Lonchura striata: one gene and its partners. The protein of the gene in region 3 interacts with the protein of the main gene of each other region in a pairwise test. Links are inferred from orthologs where the notes say so. Each region holds a gene or a part of one and is shown on either strand. Other genes may lie near its edges.

What was found. The genes of interacting proteins can lie anywhere in the genome.
Region 1: the proteins of CDC73 (region 3) and HSF2BP interact in binary tests that used the Homo sapiens proteins (3 or more experiments, as listed by UniProt). The link is inferred for Lonchura striata from reciprocal best matches to the Homo sapiens genes CDC73 and HSF2BP.
Region 2: the proteins of CDC73 (region 3) and TFCP2 interact in binary tests that used the Homo sapiens proteins (3 or more experiments, as listed by UniProt). The two-hybrid records come from large-scale screens. The link is inferred for Lonchura striata from reciprocal best matches to the Homo sapiens genes CDC73 and TFCP2.

Annotation. Positions count from the first base shown.
Region 1 is NC_134604.1:111,746,535-111,753,974, forward strand, and holds the start of HSF2BP (heat shock factor 2-binding protein), read left to right. Parts: upstream 1-4,359; 5' UTR 4,360-4,445; coding exon 4,446-4,481; intron 4,482-6,504; coding exon 6,505-6,655; intron 6,656-7,440. Other genes in the region: RRP1B (ribosomal RNA processing protein 1 homolog B), read right to left, coding at 3,262-3,394. UniProt on the Homo sapiens protein: Meiotic recombination factor component of recombination bridges involved in meiotic double-strand break repair.
Region 2 is NC_134629.1:5,118,982-5,126,916, forward strand, and holds the start of TFCP2 (alpha-globin transcription factor CP2), read left to right. Parts: upstream 1-4,854; coding exon 4,855-4,976; intron 4,977-6,807; coding exon 6,808-6,959; intron 6,960-7,935.
Region 3 is NC_134611.1:27,287,872-27,295,436, reverse strand, and holds the start of CDC73 (parafibromin), read left to right. Parts: upstream 1-4,553; 5' UTR 4,554-4,601; coding exon 4,602-4,732; intron 4,733-7,565.

The DNA.
Region 1 (7,440 bases), on a different chromosome or scaffold from region 3:
CTACTACAGTTATTTTCAAACTATGGCCTATTAAATATTCCCAAGCAATCCCATAAAAAAAACACTTTGAAAAGGTCATCATCTTCAGTAAGCTCAAATTTGCTCCAAAAAGATCATTGTCTCAAAAAAAGTCAAAAAGTCTGAAACCCAGTGCAAGATCTAAATTGTGCACCTTCCTTTGGACCAAAGGACAAAAACACCTGCACACAGATTAGTCCTGCTTGGTTGAAAAGAAAAGAAGTGAGAAAATAGGCAAAATGCTATGTAGGAAGCAATGTGTCCAGTAATATTAAGCATTAAATTTAGATTTGACAATACTGTTACGATAAAATATGAAACAAATTTATTAACGGAATTAATATTTATTGAAATATTAAAATTAATAACATTTCTTAACTGAATTATATGTGACATACTGAGTGGTAAGAAGCAGTTTCAACCTTACTGGCAGCATGAACCCTACAGAAGTATCAGACAGAGGCATCACCTGCTACCTATAGATGTGGCTCAGGAGTTCCCAGAATTGTATCACAGAATTATTCAGGTTGGAAAAGACCTCTCAGATAATCACTGCCAAGGCCACCACTAAACCCTATCCCCAAGTGCCACATCTACACATCTTTTAAATCCCTCCAGGGACATTAACTCCACCACTGCCCTGAACAGCCTGTTCCTGTGCTCTGAGGGAAGAAAACACACACTTTTATGAGGTTGCTTTTCATACACACAGGGCTTTTTAAAGCGTCCTAGGCAGTCCTGTGCCAATTTGACATAAGACTCTGACCAAAAATTACAGCAATTTTCTTATCCTAATGTCTCAAAAGAGTAGTTTCAATATAGTGTTTTCTGTTCAGCTTTATGTGCTGTTCCCCAGCCACAGCTGGCAAATAATAACCATTAAAGTTATTTTAAAACCCGAATGCATTGTATTAACAACCACAGTGCCCAGAACTGAAGGCCTTCTATACCTTGAACCTATCCTGAGAAAGATTGTGGCTTTAGGGCTTGAATTTCAACTGTCCCTCTGCACAGTAACTCTGTTCTGTGTACTGTGGGAGCTGGGATTAACACATTACAACCACTCAGAGCTACTTTACTGCAAGCCTTGTCAGCCTCTCTGTCTGGGAGTTTGGCTGCTTTGACACTGTTATAATTGAATTTGTTACCATTTTTCCTTTTCTAGATAATTGCAATGGACCAGATCCACACAGGGATATTTCAGTGGAAATTACAGAAATCCTTTACAGATCCAGGCACAAGTCAGCACAGCTCTGTCAGACAGGAAACCCACCCAGCAATCTGCCCTCTTTTACTGGAAGTTATTTCTGTTTACTGTTCTTTCTTCAATTAATTTGGTTAGTTCAATGCCTTCCACAGAGCTTAATTTCTTGAAAATTAAGAGCTCTGGCTCTGTGAAGAAGCTCCCTCAGCCTTAGCACAGACCAACAGAGCAGTCCTGTCCACCTAATAAACACCTGAGAGCCCTGAACATCAGGTGAATTCCATCACTTCTGCCAGAAGTCAGCACATTCTCAACTCCTCAGGTCAGGGCATCCTACCTGGGTTACCTGATGTGTGAATCCCTCTCAGAACACTGGAGATGGGTACAAGACTGCTAATTAATAAATTAACTGTAAAAAAACCCTCTCTCCTGAACATGCTTTTTCTCCAAGCCCGAAGTACTTAATCTTCGTTTCAATACCACCTAACAGCAAGTAAATCTAAGAGCTCTGGAAATTAGTCACCCTTGTTTCCTACTCATTTGCATCCCATGGTGTGCTGATTGTAACATGCAAAAGGTTCACAGCCCAACTGAGCAATTTCCCTGTGATGCTTTCATGATGCTCTAAAGCAGTGCCTGAACCTGTTCCCCCTTAGAAAGTCTCCAGAGCTAAAAAATAGAATGTTCTTGGGAGATACATGATGTACACTGTCCTAGTGCCCAGGAAATCCCTAAATCTATGTTAACTGCCAGGAATGGGATAATGCCTGTTTGGCTCCCTGGCCTGACCCTGTAAGACTGTTCTAGGTGTCCTACCCTCTGTCAGATGTGGCTAATGGGTCAAATACTACTTGGAAAGACAAGAAGCAATATTCTCTCTACAGTCTTTTCAAGGAAGTCATGGAGGTCCAGCCAGCACTCCAGATTAGCTCCTGAGGCCAGCTCTAGGCTGGTTCCCCAAAGCCATACATATATAATATATACTAATATATAAAATATACTTGTAAAATGCAATAATAAATAATTAGAATATATGGTAATAGAATACTGTAGAATGCAGCTTATAAAATATATGTTTTATAGAAAAGAAACATAAAATAGAGATTATACATTACATTATATGTAATATGAGGTATAGGAATAATACACATCCATGTGGAAACTGTGCACCCGAGGCATTTTCAGGTACACGGACCTTCAGACTGGCCTTGCCAGCCTCAAACAGACTCCAAGGACACCACTGAACTCTTAGTTCTAAGGTGCCAATATATAGCTCCAAGTAGAATTTTTGGAAAAACGAAGAAAAATGCTTTCGTTAGCATGAAGTGAAGGTAACAAGTAACCTAAATGTGTTACACAGAACCAGCTGCAATTACACAAGTGCTGAAGCATGTAGCTTTCCTCGATTCCCTCCGATGCTCCTGAATATCAGTCACGGAAACAGACAGACATCAGCTCACAGAAACAACAGAAGATGAAACTTTATGCAGCATATACCGGGATGTTTCCAGCCTGGATCACTTCAGTGCATTTACACCCCTGTTCCTTGGGAACGAGAGCACACGAGCCACCCTGCTCCCATCCCGGATTTGTTAATGTTGCCAGCAAAACCCTCCCTCGATCCAAGCTGATCCTTCCCGAGCTCCTCCAGTGCCCGGAGACACTTCCCGAGCGAGGATCCAGAGCGCCTCGGCTCCCGGGTGCTGCTGGGGCTGCGCTTGCGGCAGCACCGGGGCAACACGTGCGTATACAGGGCGAAAAAAAAAAAAAAAAAAAAAAAAGGCAAAAATGGGAAAAATTGGTAAAGTCAAAAAAAAACAACAACAAAGCCCTAAAAAACCCAACAAAGAGAAAAAAAAAAAAAAAAAAAAGCCCGAGGAGGCGTGCCGGGCTCAGGGCGCACACGTGCTGTTTCCTTCCCTCCCCGTGCCGTCCGTCCGCCGGGGCCGCCGCTCCCCCCGCCACGGCACCGGCACCGGGACCCGTCCCCGTCCCTCCCCCGGTCCCTGCCCGCCGCCCCGGCCCGGTCCGGTCCGTACCGCCGGGGCGCTGGCTCCGCACGCCGATGTAGCCCCGCAGCTTTTTGAGGGCGCGGTCTCGGATGCGCTTCTCGTTGGCGGCCAAGCGCTGCGCGAACTGCACCTCGGGCGGCTGCACGGCCGCGGGAGCCATGGCCCGGCCTGCCCGTGTCCCTGCGTGTCCCGGCCCGTGTCCGTGTCCCGGCCCGGCCCGCCCGCGCCGCGCTCCGCCCGATGCCGTCAGCGGCGCCGGGCTGTGCCGTCACCGCGGGGAAGGCGGAGCGCAGGGACGGCAGCGCCGCGGAGTTCGGGGCTGGCCGGCACCTGGCTCACCCACGGGAGGCACCCGCGGGATCCCCACCGCCCGCAGCGCCCGCAGATCATCACGGCTGGAAAAGAACTCTGAGGTCATCGAGTCCAGCCTGTGGCCGATCACCCACGGCAGTGGTGCCGCGTCCTTCCCGAACGGAGGGACCCAGAACGGGACACAGCACCTGAGATGTGCCCTACACAATCATTGCCCTGGTTCCGCTGGCCACACCATTGCTGACACAAGCCAGGTGCCATTGGCCTTATTGGCCACCTGGGCACACCTGGCTCATGTTCGGCCTCTGCTGACCAGCACCCCAGCTCCTTTTCCTCCGTGCAGCTTTCCAGACTCTCTTTCCCCAGCCTGGAGCTGCAGGGGCTTGTTGTGACCCAAGTGCAGGACCCGGCAGTTGGCCTTGCTGAACCTCCCACCACTCGGTCCTTCCATCCAGCCTGCCCAGATCCCCCTGCAGAGGCTCTCTGCCCTCCAGCAGATCAATCCTCCCTCCCAACTTGCTGTCGCTCCCTGCACCCTCCAGCGGCACCACGGCACGGCCGGGCTGCAGCTCCACAACCCGGTGTAGTCCCGGCATTGTCACGGTTGTTCTCCCGGTGTTATCCCACCTCTACCCCAGCGTTATCGCGGTGTTGTCCCAGTGTCATCCCGATGTTTTATCCCGGTGTTATCCCGCGGCCGCTCCGGGCGGGGCTGGGGGCGGAGCCTGAGTACCAGACCACGCCCCCACACGGGACTAGCCAATCGGAGCGGGCGCGGCCACAGGGGGCGTGGCCACAGGGGCGTGGCCGCCGCGCTCCGCTCCCTCACGCTGCCCCGCTGTCGCCGCTCGCTGTCGCCGCTGTCGCCGCTCGCTGTCGCCGCTGTCGCCGCTGTCGCGATGTGGCGCAGCGCCGGCCTCGCTGGCGACGCGCAGGTATCGCGAGCGGCCCGGGGCTGCCTCAGAGGCCGGGCCCGGCCGGAGGTCCCTGCGGGTGCCTCGAGCAGCAGAAGCAGCGGGGGCTGTGTGGTGGCCTTACGGGGCGCTGAGGAGGCGACGGCGGGGCCGCAGGGAGAGGGCAGCGTGGTGGGGCTGGGGAGCCACAGGCGCCCTGGGCTGGTGGGGAGTGAGTGGGGAAAGGCTGGCAGGGAGTCCGTGCTGGGGAGCTCTGCCCTGTTCGGCCCCTGGAGTGGCAGGGGAGGGAGATTCCCGTCCCTGGGCTCACACCGGGCAGGGCATGAGCTCAGGTGCATTGCTGGGTGACTTCACCCCTGTGAAAGAACTCGAATTTCCTACTTCCTGGCACCTGCCGTTACCTGGACAGAAAACTCCTGTTCTCCCCTGTATTTGCCTTTAACATACTCTTGTAGTGCAGAGAGATGTGGAGAAGCTGCTTAAACAGAGAAAATAAAACTTGCCTGCTGTAGCTGCAGCGCTGCAAAGACTTGTGCTTACAGTGGGAACTACAAAGGAGAATTTTCTCCTTACCGCATATTTTATATTTCAACACCAGTGATTCACAGGCTGTTTTACTTGAATTCAGCTGTTAGTGAACAGAGCTATTTTTATGTACGAAATTTTGCTCTGTAAGTCTGAGTAATACTGAATTCTCTCTGTCATTCGTGGTTGCTGACACGCAGATGGCATTCCTCTAAAGACTCCTCTTCCCATGTGTTTGCTCCATGCTTTTTTGAGACCTAGATGGGTGGAATTTTTCTAGAGTCATGTAATTATGTAGTGCTAGTTAGCCTATGAACCTTGCCATAAGCACTTCCTCGATGCAGCTTAAAGCTTGCAGTTCAAATTAAAGCAAAATTTTTCTTCCCTACCTTCATTACAGCTCTGAACCTGCAGTGGTGGCACTGATCTGTCCCAGAACTCTCTGGATTTGAAATACAGCTGAGAAAGAAATAGAGTAGGAAGCAAAACTGAAAGGAAATGTTCAATGTGAGGAAGTAGGAAAGCAGAAAGAACTGTAGGGAATGGTTGGAGAGGATGACTTCCATTTGTCTTGTGTGTCTACTCGTGAGAGGACTGCAGGGATGGCACATTTTGAACCTCTAGGAGATGAGATTTAGGTTTGTTAGCCTTTTCCCTCTGGAATGTGATACATAAAGCATCTCATTTTGTCAGCACTGTTCTCAGTGCAGTGCAAAGCGCTGCTAAGATTTAACCTTGCTTTCTGGAAGCATATTGAGTGATTGATGTTTTAGTCAAAATACATTAAAACTTTCTTTTTTGTTTGGTGTGTGTGTATCCGCCTTTTAAACATCTAGCAGAGTGCACATGTATACATCAGAAATTGGACTTTATGGGGTTTTTTGTACAGAAATTGCTCTGTAATTTTAAGATTTAACACATATTCTGCTGGAATGTTGAATGAAAATTATTCTATAGCTATAGTTTGGCAGAAGAGGAAGCTAGTAAACATTTCTGTCTTACCTTGGGATTAAATTTTTTATGTGAGATTGAGTTGCAGATGGTTGCAAATAATTTTTGCTCTTCACAAAAGATAAATTGGTTTGAAAACGGTACAGTTTCTTCCAAGAGAGTTGTTGTAATTTAGAACTGAGGATCTTGCAAATGTTTGAATTAATTAAAAAGCTGAGTAATTGTGTCCTTTACGACAGTCGTGAAACAACAGCTTGGTGCATGCTGCTCACATTTTAAAATGTGAGTGTTAATTTTTGCAGCATTCCCAAATGTATTTTACACATTTTGGGTGAAGAAACACATGAAGAGAGGTAATGCTATTTACTTAAGGCCACAGTGGCAAAAATGAAGATAACAGTCAAAGGGTCAACCTCAGAGACTTTGGGGTTGATTGCTGGATAATTCTCTATAAAAAGTTACAAATTGCTGAAATAATGTCATAGGACTGTATATACAGGACTGCAGCTGTGTCTTTGGTTGGTTGTTGGTTTGGTTTTTTTTTTTTTGCTTTGTTGTTTTATTTCAGAAGGCTGAGACCAAAGAGGAATTCGTAAAAGTCAGAAGGAGGGATTTGGAAAGGCTGACAACTGAAGTTATGCAACTGCGGGATTTCTTACCCAAAATAGTAAATGGAGATATCCTGGGGACATTCCAGAAGCTGGATGCTATTGAATCAAGTGAGTAGCACCATCTTACAAGCTCTTGCAGTTTCTGCCAGAACTGCTTAGAACAAACTGTTGTGCTCCAGAAATAGTTGTAGAGTTTATGGAGCTATTCCAGATTCAACTGTGTTGTTCAGTGACTGCTTCAGTAAATTAATGTGTTTGTAGTGAAGAAAATTACAGGCTGCCTTAGGAATAATCAGACATGTCAAATTAATCTTTAAAAATATTTTACTGTGGATAAAAACATATATGGTTCAGGCAGTAAGGGAAGCTGTATGAGGAACAAAAAGTGTTTTCCCCAAAAAACATTTTGTTTTTCTAATGGTGACTTTCACAAAAAAAAAAGACCCAACAACAAAATAATGGTAAATAGCAGTGGGTAAAAATCTGAAGAGTGAGTTAATACTGTATTTGGCCTGTCTAGTTTGTATGCTTTACTAATAAAAAAAGAAAAGATTCTGTAATAAAAGTCTTTTTATCGCTGTCCCCAAAGTCCATTTTTTTCAATGCTGGATTTCTCTGTGCGTTATTTTTTCAAAAAAAAACCCATTCCCAACATGCCATCAGGGCCAAATAGGAGTCAGCTCCATCCCTGGTCTGTAGTTTACCTGGAGCTGTACAATTTATCTGGAATTGGGTTTGCCTGAAAAGACATGGAACAAGCACTGAGACAGATTACTGAGGGTGTGTCTCTTCTAGAATACCAAGTAATAAATGGAAAATTAATTTCCAACAGGCAGCTAAGGAAAAGCAAGGTAGGGCCTCAAGGCCTGTGTCTGACAATGTAATATATTGAG
Region 2 (7,935 bases), on a different chromosome or scaffold from region 3:
AAGACATCCCTGCCCAGTGTCCCCTGAGTGTCCCCAGCGTCCCCTGTGTGCCCCCTGAGTGTCCCCTGAGTGTTCCCTGCGTCCCCCCTGCGTCCCCCCTGAGTGTCCCCTGAGTGTCCCCAGTGTCCCCAGTTTCGAGAAGCTGGACATCCCCCCTTGAGTGTCCTCCCTGAGTGTCCTCTGAGTGTCATCCCTGAGTGTCCCCTGTGTCCCCTGAGTGTGCCCTGAGTGTCCCTGTGTCCCCAGGTTTGAGAAGTTGGACATTCCCCCTGAGTGTCCCCTGAGTGTCCCCTGAGTGTCCCCAGTGTCCCCATGTGTCCCCAGTTTCGAGAAGCTGGACATCCCCCCTGAGTGTCCTCTGAGTGTCCCCTGAGTGTCCCCTGAGTGTCCCCTGTGTCCCTCTGAGTGTCCCTGTGTCCCCCTGAGTGTCCCCGTGTCCCCAGGTTCGAGAAGCTGGACATCCCCCCTGAGTGTCCCCTGAGTGTCCCCTGAGTGTCCCCTGAGTGTCCCCTGAGTGTCCCCTGTGTCCCTCTGAGTGTCCCTGTGTCCCCCTGAGTGTCCCCGTGTCCCCGTGTCCCCAGGTTCGAGAAGCTGGACATCCCCTCTGACTGTCCCCGTGTCCCCAGGTTCGAGAAGCTGGACATCCCCTCTGACTGTCCCCGTGTCCCCAGGTTCGAGAAGCTGGACATCACGCCCAAGAGCGCGCAGAAGCTGAAGCCGGTGCTGGAGAAGTGGCTGCGGGAGGCGGAGCAGCGGCAGCGCGAGGGGCAGCAGCACCTGCTGGAGTTCGTGGGCGGCGAGCCGGGCAAGAAGCGCAAGCGGCGCACGTCCTTCACGCCGCAGGCCCTGGAGGCGCTCAACGCGCACTTCGAGCGCAACGCGCTGCCCACGGGCGCCGAGATCACGCGCATCGCGCAGGAGCTGCGCTACGAGCGCGAGGTGGTGCGCGTCTGGTTCTGCAACCGCCGCCAGACGCTCAAGAACACCAGCAAGCTCAACGTCTTCCATGTGCCCTGACGGCCGCGCCCGGCACCTCCCAGTGCCCGGCCGGGAGCGCCCCTGTGCCCCCGGCCTCCGGCCACCGGCACTTCGGGCACCGGTTCTGTCCCTCTGCCACCTGGTTCTGTTCCCGTGACACCTGGTTCTGTTCCTCTGACACCTGGTTCTGTCCCTCTGCCACCTGGTTCTGTTCCTCTGCCACCTGGTTCTGTCCCGCTGACACCTGGTTCTGTCACCCCGACACCTGGTTCTGTCCCCCTGACACCTGGTTCTGTTCCTCTGACACCTGGTTCTGTCCCGCTGACACCTGGTTCTGTCCCCCTGACACCTGGTTCTGTCCTGCTGACACCTGGTTCTGTTCCCGTGACACCTGGTTCTGTTCCTCTGACACCTGGTTCTGTCCCCCTGACACCTGGTTCCACCAGCACACCTGTGCCTGTGCACACCACACCTGTACCAGTGTCCACCACAGCTGTACCTGTGTGCACCACACCTGTACCAGTGTCCACCACACCTGTACCAGTGTCCAGCACAGCTGTACCTGTGTGCACCACACCTGTACCAGTGTCCACCACACCCGTATCTGTGTCCACCACACCTCTGCCTGTGCGCACCACACCTGTACCTGTGTCCACCATGTCCATACCTGTGTCCACCATGCCCGTACGTGTGTCCAGCACACCTGTGCCTGTGTGCACAACACCTGTACCAGTGTCCACCACACCTGTACCAGTGTCCACCACAGCTGTACCTGTGTGCACCACACCTGTACCAGTGTCCACCATACCTGTACCAGTGTCCACCACACCTGTACCAGTGTCCACCACACCTGTGCCTGTGTCCAGCACCCCGGTACCTCTGTACAACACACCTGTGCCTGTGTGCACAACACCTATACTCGTGTCCACCATGCCCATACCTGTGTCCACCACACCTATACTCATGTCCACCACACCTGTATCTGGGCCCACCATGTCCGTACCTGTGTCCAGCACACCTGTACCTGTTTCCACCACCCCTGTACCTGTGTCCACCATGTCCGTATGTGTGTCCACCCTGTCCGTACCTGTGTCCAGCACACCTGTACCTGTGTCCACCACCCCTGTACCTGTGTCCACCATGTCCGTACGTGTGTCCACAATGTCTGTATGTGTGTCCACCATGTCCATACCTGTGTCCAGCACACCTGTACCTGTGTCCAGCACCCCTGTACTTGTGTCCAACATTCAATGTCTTCCACACATTCTCAACTGGGAGCACTGGGAACATCCCAGTTCCCGGTCACAGTCCCCCATGACCACCGGCCATCAGCACTTTGGCGACTGATTTTGTCCCTTTGGCCACTGATTTTTGTCCCTTTGGCCACTGATTTTGTTCCTTTGGCCACTGATTTTGTCCCTTTGGCCACTGATTTTTGTCCCTTTGGCCACTGATTTTGTTCCTTTGGCCACTGATTTTGTCCCTTTGGCCACCCTTTTGTCCCTCCAGCCCCGTGCCCCTACCTGTGCCCACCCCCGCTGCGCCCTTCAGCGCACTGAACTGGGAGCACTGGGAATCCCTCTGTGTGTCCCACCAGTCACAGCCCCTTGACCTCCAGCCATCAGCACTTTGGCCACTGATTTTGTCCCTTTGGCCACCCTTTTGTCCCTCTGCCCCCGCGCCTGTACCTGTGCCCACCTGTGCCTGTGTGTCCCCCGTTCCCTCCTGTCACACACGACCCGAGCGTGTTGGTGTCACCCCTCCCCACCTGTGACACAGGTGGTGACAGACCCCCCCGAGTGTCACACACCCACCCAAAATCAGCGAGTTACATTTTTCTGGGTTTTGCTCTTTTTGCTGTGTTACTGAGGCGATGTTACGGCTCACCGGGGCTGACCCCAAATTTATGTCACCCCACGCTGGTTTTGCGGGTCCCCCACCTCGTGAGGGGCTTCTGGGGGTGATCCCCCACCTTGGGGAGGTCCCGTGGGTGGATTTTGGGGACATCACCCCGGGCGTGGGGGGCGTGAACCCCAAAGCAGAGGCAGCGCCCCTTCCCCACCTCCCCCTGCCCGGAGCCCGGGGGGCTCCAGCCCCGCCGGGAGCGATGGGAGGGGAGCTCCGGGGGGGACACGGGGCCGCGGCAGACTGATGCACTTGATGTAGTGGTGTGAAATAAACTGTATTTTTCTTTTTTCTTTTCCTTTCCCCTTTTTTGTGGGGGGGTCCTTCCTCCCGCTCGGCCCTGCTCCGCGGCCGGCGCAGCGGCGGGAGCGGGAATCGAACCCGCGGGCCTAGGCAGGCGCCGCACACAGCCCAGCTCCGCCCGCCGCCGCGGCCACGCCCCCCAGCCAATCCCCGAGCGGCCTGCCAGGCGCGCAGCTCTCTATTGGTTACTTTTGCTGGCCGTCACGCGGCAACGCCAGGTCCCATTGGCTGAGCGGGGCCGAGGGGCGGGGCCACAGCCCAGCGGCGGGGGTGGGGCCTCCGCCTCCATCTTGGCGGAGCGGCGCGTTTGGGGTCCCGGCCCGGAGCGGGCGGGCCCGGACTGGATCGGGGGTCCCGGACTGGACTGGGGTCCCGGACTGGAGTGGGGGTCTCGGACTGGATTGGGGGTCCCGCCTGGATTGGGGGTCCCGGACTGGAGTGGGGGTCCCAGCCTGGACTGGGGGGTCCCGGCTCGAATTTGGGATCCTGGCCTGGATTGGGGCGATCCCCGCGGGCAGCCCTTGGAGGGCAGTGCAGGATTTTGGGGTCCCCTTGGGTGCAGCCTTTGGAGGGGACTGTAGGATTTTGGGGTCCCAGTTGGGTGCAGCCCTTGCAGGAGAGTGCAGGAATTTGGGGTCCCCTTGGGTGCAGCTCTTGGAGGGCAGTGCAGGATTTTGGGGTCCCCCTTGGGTGCAGCTCTTGCAGGAGAGTGCAGGAATTTGGGGTCCTCTTGGGTGCAGCCCTTGCAGGGGAGTGCAGGATTTTGGGGTCCTTTGGGTGCAGCCTTTGGAGGGGACTGTAGGATTTTGGGGTCCCCCTTTGTAGGATTTTGGGGTCCCCATTTGTAGGATTTTGGGGTCCCCCTTGGGTGCAGCCCTTGCAGGAGAGTGCAGGAATTTGGGGTCCCTTTGGGTGCAGCTCTTGGAGGGCAGTGCAGGATTTTGGGGTCCCCTTGGGTGCAGCCCTTGGAGGGGACTGTAGGATTTTGGGGTTCCCCGGTGCAGCCCTTGGAGGGCAGTGCAGGATTTTGGGGTTCCCCGGTGCAGCCCTCGGGGTCGGTCTGTAGAACTCGGGGCCCCCCGGCGGTGCTGCCTCTCAGGGGTTTTGGGGTTTGGGGGTCCCCCCGAGTGTTCCTTTTGAGGTGCTCCAAGGGCGGGGTGCAGCCTCGGGGGTGTCGCTGGGTTTTGGGGTTCATTTGCCTGTGGTAGTGGGGTTTGGGGGTACCCAGGTTGGTCACTGCAACAGAGGGTCCTCAAGAGGTTTGGGGGGCTCTGGTACCCCCAGAAATCAGGGAGGGGTGTTGGGGTGCCCCAGGGAGACCCTGGGTTGGGGGTGACTGAGGAGCCCTATTTTTGGGGTGACACTGAAGATATTGGCCCATCGGTTTGGGGGTGACCCCAGGGCCCCCTGGTTTTGGGGTGACCCCTGCAAGCCCCTTTTTGGGGTGACCCCAAGGACCCGCGTGTTTGGGGGTGCCCCAAACCCCCGCCTCTGCCGTGTTCCCAAGACACCCCCACCTCTGAGTAGCTCCAGACCCCCCATTTTTGGGGTGTCCCAAACACCCCCTGTTTTTGGAGTGACCACGACGGCCCCCTTTTCTGCGGGGTGACCCTGAGGACCCCCCGTGTCTGGGGGTGAGCCGGCAGCCGTTTTTGGGGTGCCGGGGCCATGGCGTGGGCGCTGAAGCTGCCGCTGGCGGACGAGGTGATCGAGTCGGGGCTGGTGCAGGATTTCGACGCCAGCCTCTCGGGCATCGGGCAGGAGCTGGGCGCCGGCGCCTACAGCATGAGGTACCGGGCACCCCGAAATGACAGGGCACCCCAAAACCGACGGGGCACCCCAAAACCGACGGGGCACCCCTGAACATCCCGGGGAAGGCAGGGGCCGTGCAGGGAGCGGGGAGCCCCAAAATGAGCTGGAGGTTGAAGGCGTCGGGCAGCACCTCAGCACCGGTACCCAAAGCAGGAAGGGACCCCGGAATCACCAGAGGCACCCCAAAATCTCTGTGGATCACCAGAACCCCCAAGGGAAACCCCAAAATCGCCAGGAGTCCCCAGAATCTCCAAGGGAAACCCCAAAGTCCCCAGGGGTCCCCAGAATCCTGCGGGTTCTCCAGGATCTTCATTAAGGGATCTCAAATCCCTGGTGGCGACTCCAGAATCTCAGGGGGGTCCCAAAATCTCTGGGGATCCCTGGAATCTCGGGGGGTCCCAAAATCTCCGGGGGTCCCTGGAATCTCGGGGGGTCCCAAAATCTCCGGGGGTCCCTGGAATCTCGGGGGGTCCCAAAATCTCCAGGGGTCCCCAGAATCTCTGGGGAGATCCCAAAATCTCCAGGGGTCCCTGGAATCTCGGGGGTGTCCCAAAATCTCCAGGGGTCCCTGGAATCTCACGGGGGTCCCAAAATCTCTGGGGGTCCCCAGAATGGCAGGGGGTGCCAGGGGCACGGGGAACCCTGAGCTGTGCCAAAGTTGGGGCATCAAGGGGGAAGTGGGGGCATTGGGGGGAATTGGGATTGGGATGGAGTTGGGATGGAGTTGGGATGGAGTTGGGATGGAATAGTGATGGAGTAGGGATGGAGTTGGGATGGAGTAGGGATGGAGTAGGGATGGAGTTGGGATGGAGTTGGGAAGGAGCTGGGATAGAGTAGGAATGGAGTTGGGATGGAGTAGGGATGGAGCTGGGATAGAGTAGGAATGGAGTTGGGATGGAGTTGGGAAGGAGCTGGGATAGAGTAGGAATGGAGTTGGGATGGAGTTGGGATGGAGTTGGGATGGAGCTGGGATGGAGTTGGGATGGAGTAGGGATGGAGTTGGGATGGAGTTGGGATGGAGTTGGGGGAGAGTTTAATTTGAATTACGGCTGAAGGAAAGCCCCGAGCTGCATTTGGGGCTGGGATGGATTCGAGAGGAGGGTGGGGTACAGCTGGGATGGATTTGGGATGGATTTGGGATGGATTTGGGATGGATTTGGGATGGATTCGGGATGGATTTGGGATACAGTAGGCATTGATTTGGGATGGATTCGGGATGCAGTAGGGATGGATTCGGGATGGATTTGGGATGGATTCGGGATGGATTCGGGGATTCAGGATGCTGTGAGGATAGATTTGGGATGGATTTGGGATGGATTCGGGATGCAGTAGGGATGGATTTGGGATGCAGTAGGGATGGATTCGGGATGGATTTGGGATGGATTCGGGATGGATTCGGGGATTCAGGATGCTGTGAGGATAGATTTGGGATGGATTTGGGATGCAGTAGGGATGGAATCGGAGTGCAGTTGGGCTGGAGCTCTGGCTGGAGTAGGGAAGGAGCAGGGCTGGAGTTAGAGCTGGAATTGTGGTTGTTGTAGTGCTGGGGTCAGGATTAGGGGTGCTGACAGGTGTATTCGGATGGCCACAGGTGTGTTTCAGGTGAGCACCTGAGGCCAGAGGTTCAGGGCACACCTGGATCCCTGGGCTCGGGCCGGCTCCAGAGGCAGGGCCGGGTTCCTGGGGGGCTCTTCCTCCAGGTGCCAAGGCCAGCTCGGGTTGATGGCACCCCTGACCGCCAGCTCACCTGTCTCAGGTGACTCCCAGGTGACTCCCAGGTGACTCAGGTGACTCTCTCCCCACCTGCAGCGATGTCCTGGCTCTGCCCATCTTCAAGCAGGAGGAGTCCAGCTTGCCCCCGGAGAGCCAGGACAAGCTGCTGCCCTTCCAGTACGTGCTGTGCGCCGCCACGTCGCCCGCCGTCAAGCTGCACGACGAGACCCTCACCTACCTGAACCAAGGTGAGCCGCACCTGTGCGCAGGTACCCCCGGGAGCAGCCGGCCGCAGCTCCTGCCGGCGGGAGCCGGCCTTTCCCGGGGTTGTTGCCGGCTCTTGGGAGGCGGCGCTGCCTGCACCTGCCTGTGCTCCGCCCAGGTGGAGCAGGAGTCACCTGGGCGCTTCACCGGGTTAAAGGGGGTGACAGGTGTGTGCAGGGTGATACGGGTAAGGTGTACCTGTGCAGGTGTGTGCAGAGGTGTGTGCAGGGTGATACGGGTAAGGTGTACCTGTGCAGGTGTGTGCAGAGGTGTGTGCAGGGTGATACGGGTAAGGTGTACCTGTACAGGTGTGTGCAGAGGTGTGTGCAGGGTGATAGGGGTGTGCGTAAGGTGTACCTGTGCAGGTGTGCGTAAGGTGTATCTGTTCAGGTGTGTGCAGAGGTGTACCAGTACAGGTGTGTGCAGAGGTGTGTGCAGGGTGAAACAGGTGTGCGTAAGGTGTATCTGTGCAGGTGTGTGCAGAGGTGTGTGCAGGGTGATATGGGTAAGGTGTACCTGTGCAGGTGTGTGCAGAGGTGTGTGCAGGGTGATACGGGTAAGGTGTACCTGTACAGGTGTGTGCAGAGGTGTGTGCAGGGTGATACGGGTAAGGTGTACCTGGACAGGTGTGTGCAGAGGTGTGTGCAGGGTGATATGGGTAAGGTGTACCTGTACAGGTGTGTGAAGAGGTGTGTGCAGGGTGATATGGGTAAGGTGTACCTGTACAGGTGTGTGAAGAGGTGTGTGCAGGGTGATAGGGGTGTGCGTAAGGTGTACCTGTGCAGGTGTGCGTAAGGTGTATCTGTTCAGGTGTGTGCAGAGGTGTACCAGTACAGGTGTGTGCAGAGGTGTGTGCAGGGTGATACGGGTGTGTGTAAGGTGTACCTGTGCAGGTGTGCATAAGGTGTACCTGTACAAATGTGTGCAGGATGATACGGGTGTGCGTAAGGTGTACCTGTG
Region 3 (7,565 bases):
GATGGGGCGGCTTTCCCAGGATGGGGTCGGGAGAGCCATGAAGAGGGGCTGGATTTCCCTGAGGCCGCGGAGCCGCTCCTGGTGTGGGGAAGTTGGGCAGATTTGGCCTCCTGCCCGGCTGGCTTCCTGATGTGAGGGTTTCAGCGCTGCCTTTGCTTTGTCCAGTGTCAAACTTACTTTAAGTCTTCTCCGTCCCCGTTTCTGTTGCCTGTTCTTCCTCACGTTTCTTTCCTGCCTTGCAGTTCCTCGGTCAGAAACTGACCAGTGAAACAGGAGTTGGGGACGGAGTAAATAATGGGTGGGGGATGAAGAGCTGCTCTTGGTACCTGGGAAGTTTGTTAGTGGAATTGGCTAATCATGTAATGTGTGGAATGTTTTTAGTGGCTCATGGAAAAAAAAAAAAAAAGAGAGGTCTTACTTTATGTGGAGGCGTTGGGTATTTTATTTCCTTTTATTTCCTCAGTAGAAGCTATTCAACAATATTCTGTTATTTCACCCCCACATATCTTGCTGTGGAGCCTGGTCAAATACGTGTCCCTGGCAGAGCACTCCTGTGGAATATCCTCTGAGCAGCCCCTCTGGGGTCTGTACAAGTATTTCAGTAGTGGAGAAACTTTTCTAATCCCTCTGTGTTGAGAGTAAATTGTGCTCTGGATCACTGTTCAGTGCGAACAGCAACAGTTCAGTGCTCAGCCCTATGTTTTAAAAAATGCTGCAAGGAAATGCACTCATGTGCTGATTTGTTTTTGCTCATATGTGTCTGTAAAAAAGGGAGTGTGTGCTCATGCATGATGTATCTTTCTGGATGTTGATTAATCTTAAATGAACTTACCTATGATGTAAATTTGTCTAATATTTTGCAACTTAATTTTGCTTTCCTACAAAACATCAGTGTAACCTGTTAAAGTAGTGAGAAAATGCAAGTGAAACATTGTATCCATGTAATATACTTTCATTTTTCTAAATGGTAACTTACTTGCCCATTTCAGATAATGATTTTGTAGCCCAATGTTCTGTGATAAAGCTGATAAACTCTCAGGTATCTAATGCCACATGAAAATAGTTTCACATCAAATCCTGATTCAATGATTTAAATGCTGGTTAATTGTGTCACTATGATTCCCAAAGCAAACTGTGGGAACTATTTTGTACACTCCCAGTTGAAGCGGCATGTTAAGAGTAAACCCACTATATTTTTGCATTAAATTTGGCAGAAAATCACCCCCCTGGCATCCCAGCTGTTCCTCAGATATCAGAGGGACTGGGACAGCTGGGTTTAGCTTCTGAGCCGTGGGCAGTTCCGCAGCAGACATGCAGAGGTGGTGTGGCACTGGAAAGAGCTGACCTTTGGAGTTCCTCCCAGCCCAGCCCAGCCCGTGGTGAGTCCCCTGTGTGCAGAGGTGTGTGTGAGCCCACGAATGTGAACCATACAGCCAGCCACAAGCACAGTCAGATGGGAGATGCCAGTGTAGCACTAAGAGTATGATCACAAGCACAGGCTGGCTTTCTGAATTTCCCGAGGTGCTTACCTGGTATAGCCGAGTGCTGGAGTCTGACCCAGTAGGTGTCCCTGTGGGGAGGAGCTAGCTAGAGCCCTCTGACAGTGCCAGGATACAGAGATGGAGTCTCCTCCGACCTCCCTTACCTCTAAAGCTGTATTTATATTGTTTTCAGTGAGTGGCAGGAGAAGGTGAAGTTATGTCTGACATAATTTGCCATTGAAGTGGAGCTTGATTTTAGTAATGAGCATATATGGGGGGTATTGACACAAAGCTGGGGCACGGCTTGGGTCATTCCTTTGGCTTAGTTCCTGTTACCTGCATTGTTCCTGCCAGAGCATGACCACGGCACCCCTGTGCCACTCCATCCTTTGTTTCCTATCTGCATTGATTTCAGCAGGGCGAGACCAACTCTCTCCCTGCTGCTCCCTGCTTTGTTCCCTGCTCCCAGAGCAGCACGCCGGGCTCCTGCAGGGATGCTGCTCCTAAGGGTGCAGGCAGCTTGTCCCTCCTGAGCTACTGCCAGCACACAGACTCCTTCTTGCTCAGCTTTCTTTTTCAGTGTTCTCCCAGTGAAGGCAGCCTTAAATGAAAAAGGAAACCAGAACCACAACGTTTTCTGGAAACCTGAAAGTAAATCTCTTTGTAGCTGTGTGTGCAGCTGACTGTTCACTGCACCATTCCCTGCTCCCTGAGCAGCAGATTGGGCAGAACTGAAATGAGGGGCTTTTTGGGTCATTGTAACCCATGAAAAGAAGTATTGCTTGTAGTGCAGCAGATGTATAGGATGTGTTTCTGAGGAGGTAGCACTGGTTTAAGGGACACACTGGGCCTTTTGGATGAGGCATGGAAATGGGACTTGGCCTGCGGGAAGCATTTCAAGCCCTGTTCCAATTTTCATGAGCTGTAGTTCCAGTAATAATTCCAAATCCAGTTCAGGAAATGATATTGTTTATTCATCATGCCTTTGTCTTCTAAACACACAAATACTACTCTATACCCATTGACAAATAAACATTGGCAGTGATTGGTATAATTCACCATGTTACTGGGTGTTGTAGTACATATTTGTGTGCTAGACTATTTCAATACCACATCTGAAATGTTTTAAATACACTTGTGGTGCTCTGCATGTTGTTGTTCTGACACAGATGGGGATATCACTAATGTACTGAAACAGGGAATTCTATAGGCTGTTGGCTTTTGGTCTGTTTTCTCAGTCTCAGCACATGTTACTTACAAGAATGAAAATTAACCAATTCTGCCTTTTGCAAATCTAAGACGGTATCATGCTTTCTGCCAGTGTTGAAGAGTGTTAAAAAAATTCTGAGCATCAAAGGTTAGAATAAGTCATGATGAGAGTTTGTTTGGGGGTCTCAGATCCTGCAATCAGTATTCCCTAGGGGGTACCAGTTTGGTTCTTCTGGGAATGCTATGCTCCCAGTTTTTGTGTGTTTGAGCAGAAGAAATTAACTTGGAACATGGAGAGAGCATGGAGAGAGCACATACCAGCTGCAGCTGTGCAGTTGCTCAGGTGAGCAAACAGAGATCCCAGATTCTGCAGGGTAATGTGGGATGTGCTCCATGGCATTACTGTTTGTCCTTCACATTTACAGGCAACATTTTCCTAATGACCTTTTGTTTGCTATGGCCTTTTGACGGCTTATATCTATCAGAATTAAAGGACTTTTTTGTGATTGATAAAGCAGAGACTTCTCAGTCTTTTTTTTTTTTTTTTTACCCAGCTTTATATCCAGGAGATTTTCTCTCCAGCCTGCAGAGCGAGATGCATGCACAGTGTCTGAGAGAATCAGCCACAGAATATCCTGGGTTGGAAGGAACCCACAAGGATCATTGAGCTGAACTCCTGTCCCTGCACAGGACACTCTAATAATTCCAGCATGTGTCTAAAAACATTGCCTAAAAGCTTCTGGAACTCCGGCAGGCCTGGGACCATTACCTGCCCTGGGGAGCCTAACCCATCATCCCTCATCTGGGTGAGGAGCCTTTTCCTGATGTCCAGCATAAACTTCATTGATACTGCTTCCTGCTGTTCCCTCTGCTCCTTTTACACTGTTTTCTTGGGGTATTCCTGTGACCCTGCTGTCCCAGCCCTTACCAACCACAGGCTGCTGGGCACATGGCTGGGAGTGATGACATAAAACCCCCTTAACACCCCCAAACCCCTCCCAGGGCCCTTTAAAACCTCTTTAGTGTCACTAAAACCCCTCCAAGTACACCATACCTCATCCCAGCTCCCCCAACACCCCTCAAACCTCCTCAGCACCTCCAAACTCATTTTATCTCTCTCAGACCCCTCCCAGCACACCCTAAAGCCCCATTAGCACCTCAAATCCCTTTGAGCACCCTCTCAAGTCTCTTTAGCCCCGCTAAAACTCCTCCCGGTGTACCACATGCTATCCTAGCATCCCCAAACGCCCCTCAAACCTCAACATCCCCAAAGCTCCTTTTAGTTGTGCTTTAGCATCCACGAATCCCTCCCAGCATTCCTAAAACCCCGTTAGCACCACCAACCCCCTTCCAGCACCCTCTAAAACCCCTTCAGCACCACCAAAACCCTTCGTTACCCCCGCCCAAAACCATCCCAGCGCGCCCGGGGAGCGCGGCGCAGCCGGGAGCACCAAAGCTCCAGAGAAGAGAAGCAGCGCCGATAGACTTCGGCAGTGACTGTGTGTGAAGCTCTATTTTCACATAAGACACAAGAAAGCCCCGTGTGCCCAGGACGGACAAAGCCGCCCCCACACGCCCCGCCCCGCCCCGCCCGGGCCGCCGTGAGGGCGGGGGGCGTGGCCTCCACCGTGAGGGCAGAGGGGCGTGGCCTCCACCGTGAGGGCAGAGGGGCGTGGCCTCCGCCGTGAGGGGGCGTGGCCTCCGCCGTGAGGGCAGAGGGGCGTGGCCTCATCCGGCCCCGCCCCTCCCTGCGGGGCGGGCCCGCGCCGCTGCCATGGCAACGAGTCCGGCGTCGCCTCAAGTAGGCGGCGCGGCGGCGCCGGCTCAGGCATTCGCGGCGGGCAGCCCGGGGCGCGCCGGCGGGGTCCTGCGGCGGGCGGCGGCGGCCGGAGCGGCGGCGGCCGGGCGAAGATGGCGGACGTGCTGAGCGTGCTGCGGCAGTACAACACGCAGAAGAAGGAGATCGTGGTCAAGGGCGACGAGGTGATCTTCGGAGAGTTCTCCTGGCCCAAGAACGTCAAGACCAACTATGTCATCTGGGGGTGAGCGACACGGCCGGGGCGAGGGGCGGCTGGGGGGAGAAGTTGCCCCAAAGTTGCGGCGGGGACGGGAGCGCTGCCGTCCTTGGCGGCCCCGGCGCTCCGCGGGTGGCGAGCGGGACGGGGCCGGGCGGGCCGGTGCCGCCCCCCGCAGGGCCCCGGTGCCCCGGCGCCCTGCCCGGCTGTCCCGCGGGCGATCCCCGTCCCGGCAGCCCGGCCGGGCAGGGCGCGCCCGCCGCTCCCCTCGGGAACGTTCCCGGGTGCAGCCCGCGGCCGGCGGAGCCGCGGCCGGGTCGTGCCTCGGCTCCCGGCGCTCCTGCCCGTGCCGCCCGCGGGGCCGCGTCCTGCAGACTCATGCGATGAGATGGCAGCAGGCAGCTTCTCCCAAGTTCTCCCGGGTGTTCGGTGGGAAAGACGCGTTGTGTTGCTCGGACAGCGCTCTCAGGCGCACGGTGGGATTCCTGGGGTATTTCGCGCGGGGCCAGGAGTTGCAATCGGTGATCCTGATGATCCCTTCCCACTCAGCATAGTCTGTGATTCTGCTCTCTTGCGTTGTCGGGGCTGCTTCTCGTCTCCTGGAGCTTTGGTGCGCCAGGGCGAAGCCAGCGAGGCCCGGCCCGACGCTGCCTCTGATGAGCTGTGCAGCTGCTCTGCCCCCACCCGAGACCTCCTCCTGGGCAGCACCTGGTGCAGGCTGTTTCCTACTTGGTCTTATCGTAATAAACAAGTAGAGAGAGTGTTTATGTGGCTTAAATAATTGTAGTAGATAACATGCCTGGTTTTAGCCTCTAGTATATGGGGGAGGGGGGTTTACCTGTTGAATTTCCTGGTAGAGCATGGATTGCTTATATTGCAAAGGAGTTTATTGTTAGCCTTTCCTCAGAGTTTAGCTGCTGCTTGCTTCTTAGTGTTCTCACTAGAAGGGTTCCGATTTGTCTTTTTCAAACTTAAGAGGGAAAAATGCTTCTTCTTAAAGCTCAGGTACTGATCAAAGAGGACATGTTATCCTGTGAACCTTTGTGGAAAAGCAGAAGTACCTGCAGGTTTTTCACAAAACCCTGAACTTGTAGTTAAGTCTGACCAGGAATTATTATTTTTTTTTTAAACATTATTATGATATGACTATTATTAGCCTTAGATTGAGAGAGAGAAAGGAAATAAGCCTACTTGCTTATCTTCAGTTGTAGGTGGACTTTTCATACAGAATTTTACTTTGTACCTTATATATTACTAGAAATCTGTTTTTTCATTACCTGTTCTAAGCTTTCAGAAACTAATTTTGGAGTTATTTGTGCTTCCTGTCTGAGTGGGGGATACTGGTATGTGGACTGAAGAGGAAGACAAATATTTGGACAAGCAGAAGTCTTGGCTGTATTTTTGCTGGGCAATGTGTAGACAGATGTGGTGGTTTCCTTGCTACAAGTTGCTTTTCCCAAGTGGTAACAAGTAGTGGTTAAGTAGACAAACAAGTTTCATTGCCCTTCTGCAGGGAACAAGAAACTGATATGCCAGCCCTATCCTATTGCTCAGGAGAGCTTGGATTAGACTCAGAAATTGTTACCAAAAGCCTGAAAGTAGCTGGAGAGCAAACTCTGCTGTGTACAGCCAGGCAGCTTCATCTTCCTGGTCAAGAAGGATGTGTGGGTGAACAGAGGATTCTCTGAGCACAGCAGCTGCAGCTCCTGGCAGAGCTGTGAGTGCTCACCTCCTGGGGTACGTGTGTGGTGCAGTTTGAGGTTTTTTTTTCTTTGGGTTGTTTGAAGTGAATTAGTTCATCTTGGTTTAGACAAGTGGCTTTTGAATTTTTGATAGGATCAGGCTGATCTCAGTTCACAGCATTTCTTGTCAACCACTGTGGCATTTTGCATGTCTCAGCTTTAAATTGAAGACACTGTAAAAATGAGACCAGTTCTGCAAGCCATGCTCAGTAGCTTGAACACCACACTTCAAGAGCTGCTAATTTAGGTAATTGCTACACTCGGGAGGGACATTTTCAAAAACTGTCAAGATTCAAACCCTTTTGTATTCAGGTCACTTGACAGGATCCAAATTATGCTTGCACTGAGCAGGTGTTGGTGGCTTAATCTTTCACAGAACAAACCTTGAGTTCTGTTTTAGGTGTCCCCAGCACGGTTGCTGTAATTGCATCTCCAGCCTGCAGAGAGTAATGCTAGGCTGAAGAGCAGCAGTGGCATTTGTCCCTGCTAGAATTAGAAGTAGTCCCAGGAGACATTTAGCTGTGGCTCCCCGAGCAGCTTAGCTGGCAGAAGTCAGCAGTGCTGCCCTGCATTGCCTTCTCTCTCTGCTAGCACAAGTGTCACCCAAACAGGGAATTGGGCTGAGGAATCAAGCTGAGTAAAAGTCAACCTGGAGGAAAAAAGGAAAAGTGTGGGGGAAAAGCAACTTTAATCCAGTTTAGTTTCCAGATAGTAATTATAGCGATGCTCCTGCTGGCGCATGAAAAAGGCTAGGTGGTTTGAAATGAAGTGGTTTGTGTGTTTTGACCTATGGATCTTAAAGAATAATTAATGAATCTGTTTCAAAACCAAAGGAAGGAATCAATCTACCAGAGAAATTTATTACTTAGTTTGCCTAGTCAAGGGGCTTGGATATGCAGCTGAGTTTTCAAACAGTGAGCAGCTGGTTCTGGGTATTGTCAGCTGTGTGATACTCAGCATGCTTTGTCTTGTGTATTTAAAGTTTTCTGCTTGGATTTGTGGATGAGACACAGGCCCTTAGTACCTCTGTAAAACTACAGGCTTTGAAACAGGAAAGAGGAAATAAAGCTGTTAAAAATTAATAAATTCCTGGTGCCCATAGGTGTAAGGTGAATGGA